3 linked regions of the Arabidopsis thaliana genome follow. The protein of the gene in region 1 interacts with the protein of each later gene in a pairwise test. Each region holds a gene or a part of one and is shown in the gene's direction. Other genes may lie near its edges. The genes, in order: NF-YA8, CRF9 and MYB11.

Region 1 (8,060 bases):
CATGGAAGGTCTTAATCATCTCTTGGATCAGGAATCCAATGAGGTTCTCCTGGTAGGAATCTGGGGAATGGGAGGAATTGGGAAAACCTCCATTGTTAAGTGTCTCTATGACCAGCTCTCACCTAAATTTCCAGCTCATTGTTTCATAGAAAACATTAAGAGTGTTAGTAAAGACAATGGCCATGATCTAAAGCATTTGCAAAAAGAATTGCTCTCCAGTATCCTCTGTGATGATATTAGGTTATGGAGCGTGGAAGCTGGATGCCAAGAGATAAAAAAGAGACTTGGGAATCAAAAGGTTTTTCTTGTGCTTGATGGTGTGGATAAAGTGGCGCAGGTGCATGCTTTGGCAAAAGAGAAAAACTGGTTTGGTCCTGGGAGCCGAATTATCATAACCACTCGAGATATGGGCTTGCTCAATACCTGTGGAGTAGAAGTCGTTTATGAGGTTAAGTGCTTGGATGATAAGGATGCCCTCCAGATGTTTAAACAGATTGCTTTTGAAGGAGGACTTCCTCCTTGTGAGGGTTTTGACCAACTCTCAATCCGAGCTTCTAAGCTTGCTCACGGGCTTCCTTCTGCCATTCAAGCCTATGCATTATTTCTCCGTGGAAGGACAGCGAGTCCTGAGGAGTGGGAAGAAGCACTGGGTGCACTTGAAAGCAGTCTTGACGAGAATATAATGGAAATCTTGAAAATTAGCTACGAGGGCTTACCAAAACCACATCAGAATGTATTCCTTCATGTTGTCTGTCTCTTCAATGGAGACACTCTCCAGCGAATCACTTCCCTTCTTCATGGCCCCATACCTCAGAGCAGCCTGTGGATAAGAGTTTTAGCAGAGAAATCTCTCATCAAAATATCAACTAATGGATCTGTTATCATGCACAAGTTGGTCGAACAAATGGGAAGAGAAATTATCCGCGACGACATGTCTTTGGCTCGAAAGTTCCTCAGGGATCCTATGGAAATTCGCGTTGCCCTGGCTTTCAGAGACGTAAGCATCTATATCATCTTTGATCTATTCTTTTAAATTTTCATGCATCCTGACCTGACGAGTTTCTGGCTTTGTGTTTCTTTTGTCTTCTTATCATCAGGGAGGAGAACAAACTGAATGCATGTGCCTACACACGTGTGATATGACCTGTGTGTTATCCATGGAGGCCAGTGTTGTTGGCCGTATGCATAATCTCAAGTTTCTCAAGGTTTACAAGCATGTAGATTACAGAGAGTCGAATCTGCAACTCATTCCAGACCAACCGTTCCTGCCTCGTAGCCTACGGCTATTCCATTGGGATGCATTTCCATTGAGAGCCCTGCCTTCCGGTTCTGATCCATGTTTTCTTGTTGAACTCAATCTGCGTCACAGTGATTTAGAAACTCTCTGGAGTGGAACACCGGTAATCTTTTCTATGATTCTGCATCTTGTGTTTGTGTTTTTGATAGAGCAATGGTGTGAAAACAGAGAATCCTTGCGAGAAACATAATTCCAACTATTTCCATGTGTTGTTGTATCTTGCTCAGATGTTGAAGAGTTTGAAGAGACTAGATGTGACGGGATCTAAGCATCTCAAGCAACTTCCAGATCTTTCAAGTATCACGAGTCTTGAGGAATTGCTTCTGGAACAATGCACGAGACTGGAGGGCATTCCAGAGTGTATTGGAAAAAGGTCTACCTTAAAGAAGCTTAAGCTATCCTACCGTGGAGGGCGTAGAAGTGCCCTGCGGTTTTTTCTACGAAAATCTACAAGGCAGCAACATATTGGATTGGAGTTCCCAGACGCAAAAGTGAAAATGGATGCACTTATAAACATATCGATTGGGGGAGACATTACTTTTGAGTTTCGTTCAAAATTTAGAGGATATGCTGAATACGTCTCTTTTAATTCTGAGCAACAGATACCCATTATATCGGCGATGAGTCTGCAACAAGCACCTTGGGTCATCTCAGAGTGCAACAGATTCAATTCCCTCCGCATCATGAGGTTCAGCCACAAAGAAAACGGTGAATCTTTCTCCTTTGACGTCTTTCCAGATTTTCCCGACCTGAAAGAGCTAAAACTAGTGAACTTAAACATCAGGAAAATCCCATCTGGGATTTGTCACCTGGATTTACTAGAGAAGCTGGACCTCAGCGGAAATGATTTTGAGAACTTACCAGAAGCTATGAGTAGCCTTTCCCGGTTAAAAACTCTCTGGCTTCAAAACTGCTTTAAGCTCCAGGAGTTGCCAAAGCTAACTCAGGTGCAGACACTTACACTTACCAACTGTAGGAACCTTAGATCATTGGCGAAACTATCTAACACAAGTCAAGATGAGGGAAGATACTGTTTGCTTGAGCTTTGCCTTGAAAATTGCAAGAGTGTTGAATCATTGTCAGATCAGCTTAGTCATTTCACCAAGTTGACATGTTTAGATCTCAGCAACCATGATTTTGAGACATTGCCATCAAGCATCAGAGATCTTACCTCATTGGTAACACTTTGCCTCAATAACTGCAAGAAACTCAAATCGGTGGAAAAACTTCCCTTGTCTCTCCAATTTCTCGATGCACACGGCTGTGATTCTCTCGAAGCTGGTTCTGCAGAACATTTTGAGGACATACCAAACAAGGAGGTGAATACTTGGCTCTTGATCCGTCTCTACTATGATTGATGTAGTTACCCTTTATCATCTCCCTTCTTTTATAGGCACATACACGAAATGACTACTTCCAAGAAACTGAGATGTCGAGTTATGTACTGAAAACTCAAGCCACAAGAAATCGCCAAACCATCCGCCTTCCCAAGATCACACATGCGGTTATGTATGTAGGCATCCCTATCTGCATCACGCTAGTGGCTGCTCTTGTGATTTTACTCCTGCGTGTTTTCAAGTGAAACTCAAGACTCAGCAACAGCTTCCTCAAGACTTAAACTGTGTGCTTTCTTCTGTAATTTACCAGGTAGTAACAAACTTACTACATTTCAAGTCTCCCTTGCTTCTGCTTCTCTCTCTCTTTTCCACTCGCATTTTGGAACTGAGTTCCACTATATCCAAAGAACGCTTCAAGATTTTGTCCATAAACACAAAGAGTAGGCAGATTAGCTTTGCTTTAGATGCTTCAGCTGCCATATAGTTGCTCACTAGATTAGGCTTTTGACGATAGTTTTACTTTGTAAAGTGGATAGGCAGATAACTAGATAAGTGTTTACTTTGTTAAGTGAACAAAATAATAAGTCAATAAGATTAGAAAACTAATATATTAATTAAGCATTAAAAATACTAATGAAGGTGGCGGTACTGCTAATAATGGAGCTGGTGATTTTGTTGGAAAGGTAATGACTTTATAAGAGAGAAAATTGTGAGTGACGGAAATGAAGCATCAAAAGAATACACACACACACATACACACTGTTGAGTATCTATCTGAGAGAATAAGCAAAAGAGAAAAGAGATTTACTTTGTTTTGATAGGCATCCCTTGAGTTCCTGTTCTTCATCTCTTCCTTGAATCCGTAAGGTCTCTCTATCTCCTTCTCTTTGAATCCGTCATTTCTTCGCTTTTTTTTAGAGTGATGTGCTGATTCGGAAATCTTCTGGAAATTTCTTCCCAAGTCAACGCCTTTTAGGACGAAAGTAATGGTGCTGATTTTAGTTGGTCGGAACTTTACTTTTTTTTCTGCCGCGCTCTTCTAATAGTTTGCCCGAAATAGTTCTGAATGTTGCTCTGTTTCTGGGTTTTTTTCCCTTTTTGGATTATCCCCTTCTTTGTCTACTACATCGTCAAAGGTTTTGCTGTTTCCAGGAATAAATATCTTTTGAAAGTTTTATCATTTATAAAGATGTTCTGAATTTGGAGCTTCTTTGACAGACACATGTATCATCAATCTTCTCTGTTGAAGCAGAGAGAGAGAGAGCTAATTGTTGCCTCTGAGTCACATGGATAAGAAAGTTTCATTTACTAGCTCTGTGGCACATTCAACTCCACCATACCTTAGTACTTCCATCTCATGGGGACTTCCAACCAAATCCAATGGTGTGACTGAATCACTGAGTTTGAAGGTGGTAGATGCAAGACCAGAACGTCTTATAAACACAAAGAATATCAGTTTCCAGGACCAGGATTCATCTTCAACTCTGTCCTCTGCTCAATCTTCTAACGATGTTACAAGTAGTGGAGATGATAACCCCTCAAGACAAATCTCATTTTTAGCACATTCAGGTCCGTTTTAAACAACTTTGGGTTCTAGACAACTCACTATGATCTATTATGTTGAAGACGCATGGTGTTTTAGCTTGATCTTTGGTCCCATTTACGAAAGAATCCATCCCTTTGTCCTGAAAATGTTATCTTTCGCTCTCTTTCTTTCAGATGTTTGTAAAGGATTTGAAGAAACTCAAAGGAAGCGATTTGCAATTAAATCAGGCTCCTCCACGGCAGGAATCGCTGATATTCACTCTTCTCCTTCCAAGGTACCCGTATATCTACTACGAGTGACGATAAGCAGTACTTGTGATTGTTTACTGACATCTTGTGTTATACTCTGGTTTCAGGCTAACTTCTCATTTCACTATGCCGATCCACATTTTGGTGGTTTAATGCCTGCGGCTTACCTACCACAGGCAACAGTAAGTATATCCTCCTTGATTACATATGGTGAGGAGAATATTTATGCTAAACCTCATTTTTACTTAAGGTGGACTTGTTATGTAACATTATGCTCTGAAGTAGTTACATATACAGCTATAGAAAGAAATGCCATCCTTAAATGGTGAATTAGTCTTGCAATTTATTTCTCCATTTGAGATTTCAGTTTGCTTAAAAACTTTCTGCAGATATGGAATCCCCAAATGACTCGAGTTCCGCTACCATTCGATCTCATAGAGAATGAGCCTGTCTTTGTCAATGCAAAGCAATTCCATGCAATTATGAGGAGGAGGCAACAGCGTGCTAAGCTAGAGGCGCAAAACAAACTAATCAAAGCCCGTAAGGTATAGTATTTTGGTCAGCGTTTCGGTATCTTACTTTGGTTTAATGACTAAACATAACTCATTATCAAATATCATACAGCCGTATCTTCATGAATCTCGACATGTTCACGCTCTTAAACGACCTAGAGGATCTGGTGGAAGATTCCTAAACACCAAAAAGCTTCAAGAATCTACAGATCCAAAACAAGACATGCCAATCCAACAGCAACACGCAACGGGAAACATGTCAAGATTTGTGCTTTATCAGTTGCAGAACAGCAATGACTGTGATTGTTCAACCACTTCTCGCTCTGACATCACATCTGCTTCTGACAGCGTTAATCTCTTTGGACACTCTGAATTTCTGATATCAGATTGCCCATCTCAGACAAACCCAACAATGTATGTTCATGGTCAATCAAATGACATGCATGGAGGTAGGAACACACACCATTTCTCTGTCCATATCTGAGCCGGTGGAATCTGGTAATGTGTACGTTCCTACAAAAAAAGGGAAGTCATCCTTGGCTGCTACTTCGCTTATTAGCTAGTTCTTATTTCACACGCTTTGTCCAGATATCATTTGAATGACCAAAAACCTTCAAGCTTCAACTCTTTACTTTTCGTCTGTCGTTTGTACCATGGATCATCGTGTGTTAAGTCAGTGATTGGATTGGAGTGATGAATGTAAATGTAAATCTGATAACCGATAAGTCTCTGCTCTTTGCTTATTCATAGTTAGTAAAGCTAAACCAGATTCATACACTCCATTCCGGTGTTGTTTATATCATATATCATAGTCATAGAACACATTGACTAGAAGCGCAGCTTGGTCCCAATCCTCTGTAACAAGCCGTCCAACCACCTTCCCCGACCAAGTTTCTAACCGTCTGTAGATAGTCAGACTGCAGTTCCTATCGTTACTACTACTACTATTACTATCTTCCACATTTAGAACCTGCAGTCTAGTCTTTAATTATGTCACTGTAATCAAAGCGGAGACACTACCAGCAATGGCGGCAGTAACACCTTGAACAAATGTTCCCTAAACGCTTTTCTGTCTGAGTACCCCCGAGTTACAATCACTAGCAGTGTATTTATACACAAAGGGAATATCTCTTAACACAGATATGTTTCCAAAAACATACAAACATAACTAAAGACTAGACTGTAAAGGATGACGGGAAATTGCAATGTTTCTTTTGCAACACGTTTTCACCACGTGTCGATGTTGTTGACACATTAACTAACGCAAGAGTTATCCTTCTTTTGATCTTTTCCTTGATGTAATACTTTGGGCTTCAATTTTGGGCTTCAACTTTGGCCTTGTAAACTTGTTTGGATCAGTCAATAAAGAACAATAGTGACAAAAAAAAAAACTAATAATTTGAAAAATGATAAACAAAGTAAAATTCATTAAGCAAATGGCCTATCAACGCATGGACACAACAAATATTTAGTTCACATATATATATTTTTTCCTACCCAATATACCCCTATTAATAGTAGAACAGTACCAGAAAGCCACTGGCAAAGATAGGCATATGTACTAATGTACAGGCTTTGTTTTTGAAAGCACAATACTGATCTCCTAATCTGAAAATGTCCTAGCGATCGATCGGGTATAGGGAACTTTGACTACTTCAATCTGACCTTTCCAACAAGAACATGAAGTTGGAGTTTTGGCGGATCAACGGAGGAGGATCAACCTCTGCAACCTCTACGTTTTGCATCGATTTGGAGATATCGTCAAGCGAGAATGGGATGCTGCAAAAAGCAATCAAACCAAGACACATAATTTTTTTTATCAAAATATCAATCTTCTAAAAAGTGATTTGTTTTGTTAATGTTTCTTTCAAGGGTTTACCTCGAATCGTCGTCTAGTAAAAATGAATTGCTGATCGCGCTCTTTGATACATCTGACACCTCTGCCCGCATGGTTGCTATCACCTGCATCACCATTCTTGTGTCAAGCGAGGAACATTTTTATTTCAATTCTAGGTAATGTTGGATTTTCTTAAAACATAGCTCAGGATAAGACTAATGTTAACGGTTTGGTCGAGTGGGTCCATCAATCACACGAATGTGAAAGCAAGAGTAGAAATATTCACTTGCCTCTGTAGATACGCTATGTGTACCGTATTTGTCGTCCCAATACATTGTACTGATCCTATACAGTTGCTGAATGCTAAGCACCTGCAGAGAAATACAAAATTTCGTTAGATTTACATGAGACGAACAAATGAAGAGACAAATTCAAAACGTTGAACTAACCGGACAAAGTTCAGTAGTTATCTCTTTTAAGCTCTTCTTAGGCTTCTGATGTATAACCAAGAAGCCAACAGCTTGTCTAATGTGCTTTAGTTCATCCCAAGCCGAACCAACAAACTAGAACACAACAAAAAAAGCATCTTCTAATAAGCTAACTGTCCGAAAACTCCAGAGAGGATTTGAAACATCTATTACCTCCTCCGTTGCATCATGGCACCACTTTTCCAGCTCAGCAAGCCCTGTTTTTACATACTCTCCATTGCTAAACGAGCAGCATTCACGTCTTAAAAGAAGGCTACACGGTTGATTAAACGGGAAAAACATAAGCGGATCTGTATTATATAGCGACTTGACAGTTGCAACCATATCAGAATTACCTGTTAAACAGCTGAACATTGATAAATGAAAATATCTGCCCGAACACTTTAGAAATTAGCAAGGAAGGCACCTGCAGTTTTGGATAGGTTCAAAATTTGTAAGAAGAAAGAAAAAAGAAGTTGAAAATAAACTTTATTTCAGCTTTGGCGGAATTTATAGTTTATTTCACTCACATAATTGGCCCTCATAGTCCTCAAGTGGCCGTTTAGACAAGTAACAATGTTTTGCCAATGAGCAATCATCGGTTTTGGAGCAACAACATTATTTTGTGTATTTTGTGAACGTCCTTTTACTAAACCAGACCGCGGTGTCCTTGGAACCTGTTTTCATCAAACCACAAAACCAGAACCAGACTCAGGGGCTTTAATACCACAATAATATATCAACGATTATTTTCTGTGGAACAAAAGGCAATTCAAAAGAATGTCTACCTGAATGCAAGAAGCAAGCAGAGGGGAA
Region 2 (6,211 bases), about 12 Mb from region 1:
CTTGTTCCAACTAGAGAGGCAATCTCCCAAATGGAGATCAAGATCTATGGATGCGGTGTTTGGTTACACGGCAAGAATACTCCATTTAGACTCTAACCACACTGGTCAGACGTATTAGAAAATATGCAATCCTTGAACAACGTTTAAAAAAATAATTGAATTAATGCTAACATTTGATTTAGTTCTATAAAAACAGAGGAATTTTCACACATGCAGTTTAAAATTCCTATATGATAACAATTAAATGTATCTTTTACTTGCAATATACAATATTTTATTTCATGATTTGGTTTTCGTCTAGGAAGTTTTAAAACAAAAACAACATACTATTAATTAATCTCTAATATATTATGTAACATATTAACGACACTATGACAAAGCCCTACAAGCCAGGTTTGCATCGTGTGGCTAATGAATCTCTTTCAGAAGTCAGCTACACTCAAAAATCTGTTTTTATTTCAAATGCTATGCTAAATTATAAAAACAGCTTATATATATACAAAAAGCTATATTTTTTTTAATACAATTTAGTAACATTTTATTTTTAAAATATACTACAGAATTATATTTAATCCATAAATAACTTAAGTCTAAACTACTCGGTTCTTTCGTTTTCTTTATGGGAAAATGAAACAGCGTGCTTCTTATCCCTCTTGGGAAAATGAAGCAGCGTACTTATTAAGGCAGCAACTGAATAGTCTACTTTTTTCACACACTCGCCTCAATTCAGTGTCATTATATAATTTAGTATCTTCCCATATACGCGATAGCGTGTTAGCCAAGGCAAACTCACTAGGGATTTGTCCTCTAAGCCACGAGATGAATCTCCGTCAAATCTACGAAGTTTAATGGATGAAAACAAAAGCCGGTATTGAAGCCGTTGTGGAAGTGCAACGCAGCGAGAAGCTAAAGAGGCGAGCGACATCAAAAGGTAGGACGGCTGCTGAATCGGCTATGATAAGAGCGTTTAACGCTCAATTTGCTGAGTATAGCTCTGAACTAAAGATAGCTCGTGCGGTCATGAAGAAAGAAAGTGATACTGGTGTTCGTCTCCGAGACAAGTACTGGCCAGTTTCTGCATTCGGTGTAGCCATCAATGTTTTGCACGAAGAGGCAGTTCTTGATTTTTGTAGGAAAGAGGGAGTGAAATGCGGTTTGTACAAGTATGTTGAAGGACTGATTGAACGCAAGACGGTGAGTTTTGCTTTACGCGAAGCCGATAATCTTCGGGCTGTTCTCAAGGAAATGGAAAGGTTTGAAGTTCCGGTTTCGTCTATGGATGGAAATTGTCTTGTTGATAATAAGAGGAAAGATATTGGATCTGTTCTTGGTCATGGTGGAGAAACATCATCTAAGAAGAAGAGACGTCTTACTCGTAAGAAGTAGATTTGACTCATTAACTCGTTAATGGGGAAATGTGAAAATGTTAATGGGAAAATGTATAACTCATTAATACTACTCATTATGCTTTTTATTTTGTTTTGTTTCTTTAGTCTTTCTTTTTGTAACGTTTTTGCGTTTTGTTTTTTCTTTTTGTTGTACGGTCTTTTTAAAAGTTTAATCTACTGTTTAAAACAAAAATTTTATGTTTATCGACACACTCAAACTGGAAGGTCTCAACTTAATCGGATCATGTTTATCAAGTTTTGAAATTTCATTTTATACATATAAGATGATAAATATATATACTATGATGTAGTGACTTAAAAAATAATCTAATGATTTGAAAATTAAACTCGTTAATATAACAAAAAAAAAAATCACTACTAGTTTTGATAGAATAAGTGTATTATTTTCTCAGGTTGCTTTTGAATGTTTCTTATGTATCATGTAAACTTTAACTATATAATAAAATCGATTTGCCGTTAAAAAAAAAAAAGTGTGTTATTTTCTCAAAATCATAAGTTGAGGGTTGAGATTAACCTATGAGATTCTGGATAGTCCCAATTTTACGTGTTCTCCGTACTTAGATGGTTGATTTCTCCATCGAAAATAAAAAACTTTTTATTTAATCATTAATGTGTAGTCTACAAATTATTCTCCGAGAAATACAAAAAAATAAAAATTAGAGTGTGATATCAATTGAAGTTTTAGGACCAAAGAAAAAAAGAACTATAATATATCATCAGAGAATTCCCAATTTTCCATTTTTTCCTACTAAAATATTAACTTTCTTTTTCTATCACAAAAAAAAAAAAATGGTAAATTTAGATATGGTAGTTACCGATATCCTCGTTAATATTTACTACAGATTTTACTTTTATGATTATATCTAAACAAAAATTAAAAAGGAAAACAAAACAATTCTCATAAACTATTAATAACGTCTTCTATGTTTCGTCTTCCTTAGCTTTGCCATAAGCTCCTTGAATTTTATTTTTGACACACTCTCCATAACAAGGTACGATGATGAATCTTAACTATGTTTTCTGTTCAAGTTTTTCTCCCATGTTTAGGTTTTTAATCTCTATCTCTATCACCAACTCAAAACACTACATTGTTTTTTTTTTGGTTTTTATTGTAAGATTCTGTTACTTAGTACCGGAGTTTAGTCGGAGAGAGAACAATGATCAGTTTCAGAGAAGAGAACATCGATCTCAACTTGATTAAAACAATTAGTGTAATCTGTAATGATCCAGACGCCACCGATTCCTCTAGCGACGATGAATCTATCTCCGGCAATAATCCTCGCCGTCAGATCAAACCAAAACCACCGAAACGTTACGTCTCAAAGATCTGTGTCCCGACGCTGATCAAAAGGTATGAGAACGTTTCGAATTCTACAGGGAATAAAGCAGCCGGAAACCGGAAAACGTCGTCGGGTTTCAAAGGCGTACGACGGAGGCCGTGGGGGAAATTTGCGGCGGAGATAAGAAATCCGTTTGAGAAGAAGAGAAAGTGGCTTGGAACGTTTCCTACTGAAGAAGAAGCAGCAGAAGCTTACCAAAAGAGTAAAAGAGAGTTTGATGAACGATTGGGTTTAGTTAAACAGGAAAAAGACCTAGTAGATTTGACCAAGCCGTGCGGTGTACGTAAACCAGAAGAGAAGGAAGTTACTGAGAAGTCGAATTGCAAAAAGGTAAATAAGAGAATTGTTACTGATCAGAAGCCATTTGGTTGTGGTTATAACGCTGATCATGAAGAAGAGGGAGTGATTAGTAAAATGTTGGAAGATCCGTTGATGACATCGTCAATTGCTGATATTTTTGGTGATTCGGCTGTTGAAGCAAATGATATTTGGGTGGATTACAATTCAGTGGAATTTATTTCCATTGTAGATGATTTCAAGTTTGATTTTGTGGAGAATGATAGAGTAGGAAAGGAGAAAACATTTGGATTTAAGATTGGGGATCACACTAAAGTTAATCAACATGCCAAAATCGTATCGACCAATGGGGACTTATTCGTCGATGATTTACTTGATTTTGATCCGTTGATAGATGATTTTAAGTTAGAAGATTTTCCTATGGATGATCTTGGATTATTAGGAGATCCAGAGGATGATGATTTTAGTTGGTTTAATGGTACTACTGATTGGATCGATAAGTTTTTATGAATACTTTCTTGACACGGCCAACGGTATTAGTACAAAACTACAAATCTTTGAGTTACAAGTTGTTTGTAATTCGTTTTGGTTTTTGTAACTAACTGCTTATATAAAGAGATTTACCTCATAAGAGAAGCTTTTACTAGTATGAAATTTAAATTCTCAAATTGATTTAAGAATAAAGTTGTAACCATGTCATTGTAGGGATAAATTCAAAAGCTACGAAATATGTTCCACATGAGCTTTTTTGTTCTTTTGATTAGCTTCTGGTTTCTTTGGAGTAGCCTTTTTTTTATTTGGCACAAAGGAGAAGAAACTGAGAGAATCTGTTCCCTAAGAGTCGATGGCTAAAGATCGTCGGACAAATCGACCTTTCATTCTCGGCCTTTTGTCGGCGTTAACCTTTCTAACCTCGTACCTTATCTTCTTCTCGAACAAACGATTCTTCCTTTTATCTCTGTATCTCCAAACTCTAGCTTCTCTCTCACTTCTTACTCTCTTCTCCTCTATCCCCTGCAATCAACAACCATTACAATAAGTTTCTTTGATAGATTGGGTTCAATTTTCTCAATTTGAAACAATATAATATCATTTTTGTAAGAACTCGGAAGATTAGGCGCTTACTGGAGGAACTAGCTGGAAGCTACTTGTGTTGTTTTTTACATCTCTAGGAGATTCTTGTTTATCCCAAGCTGCTATAACATTTTCGTAATTCAGTCTATGCCTTGCATTATTCTCATAACAATCTTCAATTTCTTCTGTCTTTTCTGAAACCGTTATGACATTGTCGTAATCTTTCTTGCAGCTCATCAAATATTGTCCAGGACATGCTTCAGCTCCATCAGTTTTATCTTCTTCTTCTCCATTGTAATATAGATCCTCCATTGTGTCAGCTTCTTCTTCAAAGTTGAATTGTTTCGTTGTTTCTTCAGTACCATTGTGGTTGCTCAAGAAGAATCCCATCTCTGTGAATCCCTCAAACTCTGGCACAAGAGAAGTCATATCATCATCATTTGCTTCTGGTATGAAAAACATCACTTCGCCTCCAATCTCGGGAACACGAGGATCTTCCCTTCTTCTCTCATCATCTATCTTTTGTTGTGGCTTTTTCTCATACCGAGATCTAGGAGTTCTTGCTTTTCTTCGAAACCCGCTGTGCCAAACCGAGGTTAATGTTGTTCCCCCACGCACATCATTCGATATCTCGTTTGTTCTAAGACAAACTCTCTCGTGTTTTGTCGCTACATGGTTTGCAGAATGCACTGATTCATCACAAACATGGCACAAGAAAGCATCATCGGAGGCACAGTACCAAACTGCGTGTTTGTTCAGACAAAGTTCGCAAGCTCGTGGCTGCTTGACATCTTCTTGGTACTTTGAAATCATAATTTCTGCGCAAAACATGAAAACAGAGATATGAGAAGAAATCAAAGTAGAAGAAGAAACTGGCACAAAAGGAGGTTTATCAGGAAACAGTAGAGTAATGGTTATATACTTTCTGAAATTTTGATATTTTGGTGACTTGTCATGGGCTAAGAACAAGAAAGATCTTAAAGTGAGAAAAAGGGGACAATGAAGAAGACAAGGGCTAAGAGGGATGGAGAATAATGGGCACTGACAAAGGAGCCTGCTTAGGTAGGTATATAATAATCTTTTTCGTTGGGATCAGACAAAGACATTTTCCTTTAGAATCTAGAAGATTTTTTCACTGACACTTCTTTCTTATGTCAGTAGGGACTAGAAATGACTTTTTAGCTCAAGTTTCCTTGAGTCTTGTTCTATACATGTTTAATATTCTTGAATCTTAACATTAAGGGTTAGTGAACATACTTATATAGAGTAGATTAGTCTTAAGAAAAGGTAGTAAAATTTGAGATGAGTAAACACTTGGTGTATTATTGAAGTTTGGCCATACCCATTTTTGGTTGGGTTGTACAAGGAAAAAAGACACTGTAGTGATGATTTGGCATCATGTACCGAAGTTGATCCATATCTTTGCGATCTTATTGGTTAGACTTGGATTATGTTTTTGGGTCTTTTATGGCTTCTTTTCCTTACCCATCTCTAAGTTTTATCTTTTTGTTTGTTAGTCTTTTGTTTTCTGACTCATTTTGTCTGTGGTCCTTACCTGTCTTTGTCACCATTTAACATATGGTAATAGACTCCGTAGATGTTTGAACTACTACTTAAAGGTTAATAAAAATTTCATGAACTATTTCAGAAATGAATCCATTTAGACAACACTAAAGAAGTAAAGATGTTCCTACAGTTTTGAAATAAAGGGAAAGTATGATGTTTTTAGAGTTAACTCTTTCTTAGTTTTATCAGATAAAGTCTTAAAAACATATACTAAGTTGCAAGCATGCAAAAAGGTACTTGGGAATTTCATTATTTCGACAAACAGGGACGCAATGTACAACAAGCCAAAAATATATATAAATCATTTGAAAAACGAAGCTGAGCTTAACCAATTGGAACTCCCAAGTCCAATTAGTAATATATGTTTTACGAAACAGAAAAGCATAAATCAAGTAACAACCTTGATGTGGAGCATTAACTTGCAACAGAGACTCCATTCATGTATGGTAATCAAAGCTCTCACTCACCTGTGTCATTGGAGCAAGAAAAAACCTTTAAAATCTTTGAACCAAATACAAAAATCAT
Region 3 (7,356 bases), on another chromosome or scaffold:
GGGCATTTGTCACAGACCTGAGGGGAAGAAGAGGATACGTCGTTAAACAGTAATTAGGTTGGAACAAGACCATCTGTGACAATTGAACATATCCGTCCTTTACCTGCTCTGTCATCTGTTGGAACATTCCAGGACCAATTTGTCTGTGATAGACCTCGTTCCTGCAGTTACACTTTCTCTTTCCAGGAGCTGGTTTTATCACATTCTTTTCCCTCCATACCTGATAGTTCAATGTGGAACATTCTCACTGAGAACTTAATGCAATTTCTTTTATTTGCATTAATGTAAAAAAAAAAACTGTCTACTCTAACCAAAACATCGCCTGAACTGAACCTAAAGAATGTCTGAATGACACTATGAAATCTAGTTTACAAATTTCTATTGATTCTAGTACATTTGGATCAAAGTAACATTTCCCAGATGAGTAACATGTATTAGTGATGACAATAACATCCTGACACGGAGCTTAACATACCTTCATAGAGCCTCCCATGTACAAATCTTCTAGAGTTGCCTCAAGTTCCACAATTACGTCATCCCCCTTGACAACCTTCTCTTCTTCCTCCATCGAACCTCCACCAAAAAACCTATTAAACACATCAATAATCTCTGCAAATTAGCAATCTGCACCCTTTAAACACAAATGTAAAACATTATCCAAATTTAGGAACTATTCACGCTACAGAGTAAAGTCCCTTCTTTAAACACAAATGTAAAACGTTATCCAAATTTAGGAACTATTCACGCTACAGAGTAAAGTCCCTTAACATTACCAAATTCAATTGTATCCACTATCAATAAATAAAACTCACACGAATTCTATGTTAAGATGGGTTCAACAGGATAGAAGATCAGACAGATCCTAGTGACCCTGTATCTTGTACCTCTAGTTGGATCCTAAAGAGTTACCATTTGCAGAAAACTTACGAGCTGAAGATGTCCTGCATATTCATGCCGCCTCCTCCTCCTCCTCTTCCTCCATTTGCAGAAAACTGTTTAAGTCCCTCTTCACCATACTTGTTATATATCTCCCTCTTCTCCTCATCCGATAACACTTCATAAGCTATTACATCAAACACCAATACGTCAATTCTCAAAACTAAAAACGGGTGAGTTAACAAAGAGAGCAGAATCACACAAGTTGCAAAACGAAAATACCATTGTTGATCTCAGCGAATTTGCGAGTCGCTTCCTCATTTCCTTGATTCTTATCGGGATGATACTTCAAAGCTAGTTTCCTATAAGCTCTCTTGATCTGTTCATCAGATGCACCTTTCGGGACTTGCAACACATCGTAGTAACTCTTCCTAAATCCACAACACAGATTTTCTAAGCATTCACATTTTCCACACATTTCTGAAGGAATCGAAAGATGTTCTTACCCGGCAAGGACGCAGATGGCGTAGGAAAGAGCGAACAGTACGATACACAGCTCCGACCACCGAATCGCCATGGAAACGGAAATCGGATCTCTCCCAAGGATTACTCCAACCTGAGATTCGTTTCGATTTTAACAATGAAACCTCACAGAATGAACAAGAACGAAGATCTTCTTCGCTGATTTTTATGATTGGAAAACTCGAATCACTCTCTCTACTTGTTTTCGTGGAAACGATTCCAAAACTCGAGCCTCGTGGTCGGGTTACGTGTACACTGCAATGCTTAACCAATCAGGATTAAGTCTCTGACGATCGTAACCAATAAATATTAGCCACGTGGATAAACCAACGTCGAATCGCTGACTGTTCTTTTCGTCGACTTTAATGAGTACGACGTCGTTATACTCATATAATCTATACAAGGCGCATTAATAATGAAGCGGGCCTGTAACTCCCCTACGATTGTTATTCAATAAATGTGGCCTAACCCGATTAAAAACCCTAGGTTACTGGGCCCATACAAAATCGAGATTGTTTTATGTAAACCGATCTGGGGAGGCCAGATCCAAACTAGTTTTGCATATTTATGCATTATGGATTTTGTACCTACCATATTAAACTTGTTAATATAATGACAAAACCGCTGCTATGAGAAAATTTATTTCTTTAATCTTTATATAATCTAGACTATCTTAGTCACACATTACGTTGTGCATTGGTTAAACACTACTGGAGTATAAAACAAAAAAAGGTGGTTAAGTAATAAATACATATTTTGTTGCTTATTAATTACATGCAAAGAAACATAGACTGGTTTGGACAATCATGTCATATGTCAGGTCTCTTGATTCTTCGCATCTTCGACGAAACATTATTTACTAGACATACAATAATAACTAGACATCTCACACGAGTGGTCCCGATCCCCCACTAATACCATTTTACTGTCCATTGAAAAATAAAGAAACGTTGCTGACAATAGTAAACTAAATAAAATTGGTGTTTACATATTTTCCACGATACGAAGTAAAATATTGAGAAAGTATTACGCTTATGATTTTATTAATTGTTAGATGATTAACTGAATCCGAATTGAGCAGTATGATTAGAAACAAGTCAGAAATAATAAATGTATAACTAGTATTTAAAAAAAAAAAAAATGTATAACTAGTATTTAAAAACTATAGTTAGCATCTAATTAGAGACACTAGGACGACCCAGCTGGACAGCTGGTTAGTAGCTCTCGACCTATGATGAGCGCCTACGACTTTTGTTTCAACATAGACAAACGTGGCTCGTTCTATCACCTGAATATATAACCCACTCCTCTCTATTCTTGCATGTCACTCCTATAAATATTTAATACTAAACCAATCACTTTTTGTTGTGTCGTCACTTTACTTCTCTTTAAATAATCTCTTTCTCTAGTGATTGACTTTAGGAACAAGTGAAGTGAGTGATTTTTAATAATCGCCGGCCGAGAGAATGGGAAGGGCGCCGTGCTGTGAGAAGGTAGGAATTAAGAAGGGGCGCTGGACGGCGGAGGAAGACCGGACTCTCTCCGACTACATTCAGTCCAACGGCGAAGGATCATGGCGTTCTCTTCCCAAAAATGCCGGTAAAGTTTTTTTTATCTATACAGTACTCTGTCTCTCGACTATCGCATGCATCTCATAAGATAGTTTTTTTGTTTGGTCAAAATTTATAAGAGAATCTATATGCATCGAGAAGTTAATTAATCTTACGTACGGTTCAATTATACACCATGAGTTGTAAAAAAAATTAAAATAGAGACTTGATTTTTTTTTTTTCTATTTAATGTATCAGTTTCTATAAGGAATGCATAATATTTTAAAGTACATAAAGTGTTTATTGATAATTCAGACCAAATTGCCTTCTTGTTTTATTTACATGTATATATGGACTGTAACATCACAAATAAAACGATAATTTATTTCAATATTTAGGAAAAGATGAGTAATCGCTGCAGGCATTATTATGCCTTAATTAAAATCTGACGTACATTTTAAAAAGGGCTAAAGAGATGTGGAAAGAGCTGTAGATTGAGATGGATAAACTATTTGAGATCAGACATCAAGAGAGGAAACATAACTCCCGAAGAAGAGGACGTCATTGTTAAACTGCATTCCACTTTGGGAACCAGGTAACTTTTTCATTTGAACAAAAGTTTATTAATGTCGATATATTTCCAATAGAAAAAGTACACTATCACGTGAAATCATAAATCAAACTGTTGCTGTGTAACGTCGTGAAAAAAAACGTTTTTACAACAAAAAATAAGAATAGCGTCAACGCTAATTAAATTGCAGGTGGTCAACAATTGCGAGCAATCTACCGGGAAGAACAGACAACGAAATAAAAAACTATTGGAATTCTCATCTCAGCCGTAAACTCCACGGTTACTTCAGAAAACCAACTGTCGCCAATACCGTCGAGAATGCGCCTCCGCCTCCTAAGCGTAGACCTGGAAGAACCAGCAGATCCGCCATGAAACCCAAATTTATCCTAAACCCTAAAAACCACAAAACCCCTAATTCTTTTAAAGCAAACAAAAGTGACATCGTTTTGCCAACTACGACAATAGAGAATGGAGAGGGAGACAAAGAAGACGCATTAATGGTGTTGTCAAGTAGTAGCTTAAGTGGAGCAGAGGAACCCGGTTTAGGACCATGTGGTTATGGAGACGATGGCGATTGTAACCCAAGCATTAATGGCGACGATGGAGCTTTGTGTCTCAATGACGACATTTTCGATTCTTGTTTTCTATTGGACGACTCTCATGCTGTCCACGTGTCCTCATGTGAGTCGAACAACGTAAAAAACTCTGAGCCATATGGAGGGATGTCAGTTGGGCACAAAAATATCGAAACGATGGCTGATGATTTCGTTGACTGGGACTTTGTATGGAGAGAAGGTCAAACCCTTTGGGACGAAAAAGAGGATCTTGATTCGGTTTTGTCGAGGCTGTTAGATGGAGAGGAAATGGAATCTGAGATCAGACAAAGGGACTCCAACGACTTTGGAGAACCGTTGGATATTGACGAAGAAAACAAGATGGCTGCTTGGCTTTTGTCTTGAAAGATTTGACACCATGCATATGCCTTTTTCTCCGTTAGATTTTAGCAAAGACCCCACGTGGCAGGATCTGGTCGGTTTGTCAATAGAACATGTTTGTCCCCTAGCGTTCGTTTTTTAGTTTTAAATGTATTTATATTCTTTTTTATTTCTTTTCATGTGTAAATACGATTTTGGCGGTGGCAAATAAACAAAATAAAGTCGATCTTCTTAGTTCAATTACATATAAGCGATCCATTGATGATTACACCATTGATAGCCAACTTAAGTAATCTTTCGACTTTCGTATATATGTATACAAATATAATAAGAAATTTAAAATACAAAAAAAATATAAATAAAATTCAGTTCCATATTGTGAATCAGCAATTCTCACTATTGGTACATAGTCCAACACTTGCTAGTTGCATTCTAGGTGGAAGTATTTCAAAGAAACAAGTTTCTCTGATAGACTAATAATAGACCAAAACCCGAGCAAATTTCAAAGCATGTCGCCAACCACAACTCTTTTTTGTGTGTAAATGTTCACTGGTAAAGTGGTAATTAATGAACGTTTTGAATTTTGATTAAAAGCTATAAGACCATCTCCAACGAGAGGATGTAATCAAAAAATTGTTGGGCTCTCTTGTTTAATGACAATAAAAATAAATTAAAACTGATAAAAATCAAGAGAGTCGGCTTTCTGGAGAGAGTTTTGAGAATTTGAGAGAACCGTCGATGTGGCAACATGTGATTGGGTTTTCAATTTCAACAAAAAAATAAATGTGTGCGCGTTCTGTTCTATCTTCTTTCTCCTCTCTGCCCAAACGAAATTGACCAAAAGATGCAAAGCCCAATCATCGTTTCTTCTGAAAACTTTTCGCATTTGATATCTTTTCTTTGAAACTGAAATCAAGATACACAAACTGAAACCAATTTGTTCACCAAAAGAAAATAAAAATGCGTGGGTTTCGATTTCAAAGATATTCAGGAAAAGATCTCCGATAGCTTTCGTCTATGGCAACACTCTTTTCAATTCTGGGTTCGAGCTTCGTGGTTTTAAAAGCTTGTAATTTCGTGTGATCAAGCTCCTGCGACGCCGTTTGATGCGATTCAACTTTGAAAATTTGATGAAAAGCCTCTTGGTTATGCTTCTATTGCTCAGGTATTATAGATTATGGTGGAAACTTAACAATTAAGTAAACATGATTGAGTTAGAGTATTTAGGAGCTTGTAAAGCAGAAGGTCTTGGTGATGGACCCATAATGAAGCTGTATATTTATGTTGTAATTGAGGAAGATAATCTGGTCATAATGCTTTCTAGAATTAGCTACTCTTGCCGTAGAATTATTATCTCTTGACGTGGAATTGTAGCAACATTGTCAAACTCTGGTTATGTTTATACTAAGACAATATCATTTATTTGCTTTCTTAGGTTCACAGAGGAAGTATAAAGGGTAACAAGATGAATGTTGTTGTAAAGGTGAACATTATCGGAAGTTCTAGATGGGGCTGAAGCCTCTGCTCGAGCTATGACAGAGGTCGACCCCAAAGGAATTTTCAAGTCCACGGGTCTGTTTTCCTTTTACTGATCACTCTGTTTTTTTTCCTTTAACTTATCTATGGAGTAAATGTGAAGCCATACTAGTCTCATTTGAGCCCTCTAAAATGCAGGCTATGGTAACTATTTGTTTATGCTTGCTCCGTCAACCAATGAATCATTCAGACAAATGGTCATTTCCGATGCAGTCTCTGTTTTGATGCCGAGGTAACTGAGATTACTTATGGTAACTCTATGGTTCTTGATCATGGTTGGATTGACACTTTGAACAAGAAATGGGATTTGGTTCATTGCATTGAGGTTAGCTTAGGTTTGGCTTTTAATAAAGTTTCTATTTGAGTGGAATTGTAAAATAGAATTGATGTCTAGTACGTGTTTGATGAAATTCCTCTAAGAGTGAACCTTAAATCGTGTGTATTAAGCTTTGTTTCTTGATAAACAACTAATGATTTAGAGTTCTCTTCACGTTATTGTGATGGAAGTTTTATGTTCATACACTCAAATGTTCTTTTATGTTCGAACTCTTTGCTATATATTTGTTGTAACCAAATTTTAACCATAACACTTAAACACATAATCACAAATTTTCAAAACTTTATCTACAAGTTTAAGAAGCAAAACACTTTAACCATAAGTTTAAGAACCAAAATACATAACCACAAGTTTAAAGAACCAAAAAACACTTAAATTTTTGTTCTTTTTTCAAATCTATTTTAAAATGTTTGAAAAATGAAAACAATGTATATTTAATATTTTATGATTTGCAATAATTATTAAGTTTTAGTAAATAAAATAATTTTAAAAGAATAGTTTTTTTCAGAGAACCCCATTAGAGAGAATCTGTCATTGGAATATGAAAAACTAAAAAAAAAATAAGCAAAAGTTCTCTTGTAATTTTTGTTGAAATTTAATCAAAAAAAATTGAGAAAACCTCTCCATGAGCTCTCTCCATTGGAGATGCTCTAAAAGCTTAATAGGAGCCTTGCCAGTTGCCACAACTTATACGACTAATTCAGACTCTCTCGTTTCTTTTAAAAGGATGATATTGTTCCTAAGCGTAGAGTAGACGTTTTAGTAAATAGTAATTGAGGAAGAAACAAAAACACATAACGAGGGTCGCTATCTTTCGCTTAGAAGTACGATTTGGTCCATTGTCATTGTCACTTTTGTAATGCCTCACGTGATGCCATGCACTTTTGTCTCTCTTATTTATTTCCCCTTTTTTTACCGGGTGACTAAATGATACTTCAATACTTATTTACATAGAATAAAATCTTATTAAGTTCATGGGACCGATGGACCATTTCTACGAATTAACCGCAAACTATCGGACGCATTTCA

The links.
Region 2: the proteins of NF-YA8 (region 1) and CRF9 interact in a two-hybrid assay, tested with the Arabidopsis thaliana proteins (one large-scale study listed by BioGRID).
Region 3: the proteins of NF-YA8 (region 1) and MYB11 interact in a two-hybrid assay, tested with the Arabidopsis thaliana proteins (one large-scale study listed by BioGRID).

Annotation. Positions count from the first base shown.
Region 1 is NC_003070.9:6,047,845-6,055,904, reverse strand, and holds NF-YA8 (nuclear factor Y, subunit A8), read left to right. Parts: upstream 1-3,276; 5' UTR 3,277-3,501; exon of another isoform or gene 3,502-3,852; 5' UTR 3,853-3,920; coding exon 3,921-4,203; intron 4,204-4,353; coding exon 4,354-4,454; intron 4,455-4,535; coding exon 4,536-4,610; intron 4,611-4,817; coding exon 4,818-4,973; intron 4,974-5,052; coding exon 5,053-5,424; 3' UTR 5,425-5,741; downstream 5,742-8,060. Other genes in the region: AT1G17600 (Disease resistance protein (TIR-NBS-LRR class) family), read left to right, coding at 1-997, 1,098-1,400, 1,525-2,616, 2,691-2,879; MYA1 (myosin 1), read right to left, coding at 6,596-6,719, 6,820-6,902, 7,068-7,148, 7,227-7,340, 7,419-7,518, 7,601-7,671, 7,775-7,921, 8,033-8,060. UniProt on the Arabidopsis thaliana protein: Stimulates the transcription of various genes by recognizing and binding to a CCAAT motif in promoters.
Region 2 is NC_003070.9:18,170,861-18,177,071, forward strand, and holds CRF9 (Integrase-type DNA-binding superfamily protein), read left to right. Parts: upstream 1-2,566; coding exon 2,567-3,556; downstream 3,557-6,211. Other genes in the region: AT1G49110 (uncharacterized protein), read left to right, coding at 853-1,386; BBX17 (B-box type zinc finger protein with CCT domain-containing protein), read right to left, coding at 3,881-4,060, 4,172-4,938, 5,043-5,076.
Region 3 is NC_003074.8:23,151,894-23,159,249, forward strand, and holds MYB11 (myb domain protein 11), read left to right. Parts: upstream 1-2,736; 5' UTR 2,737-2,864; coding exon 2,865-2,997; intron 2,998-3,413; coding exon 3,414-3,543; coding exon of another isoform or gene 3,544-3,547; intron 3,548-3,709; coding exon 3,710-4,478; 3' UTR 4,479-4,692; downstream 4,693-7,356. Other genes in the region: ATERDJ3B (DNAJ heat shock family protein), read right to left, coding at 1-17, 104-220, 476-587, 928-1,063, 1,159-1,307, 1,383-1,453; AT3G62615 (uncharacterized protein), read right to left, coding at 3,467-3,547, 3,929-3,961. UniProt on the Arabidopsis thaliana protein: Modulates overall growth by reducing the proliferation activity of meristematic cells and delaying development. Flavonol-specific transcription activator involved in the regulation of several genes of flavonoid biosynthesis.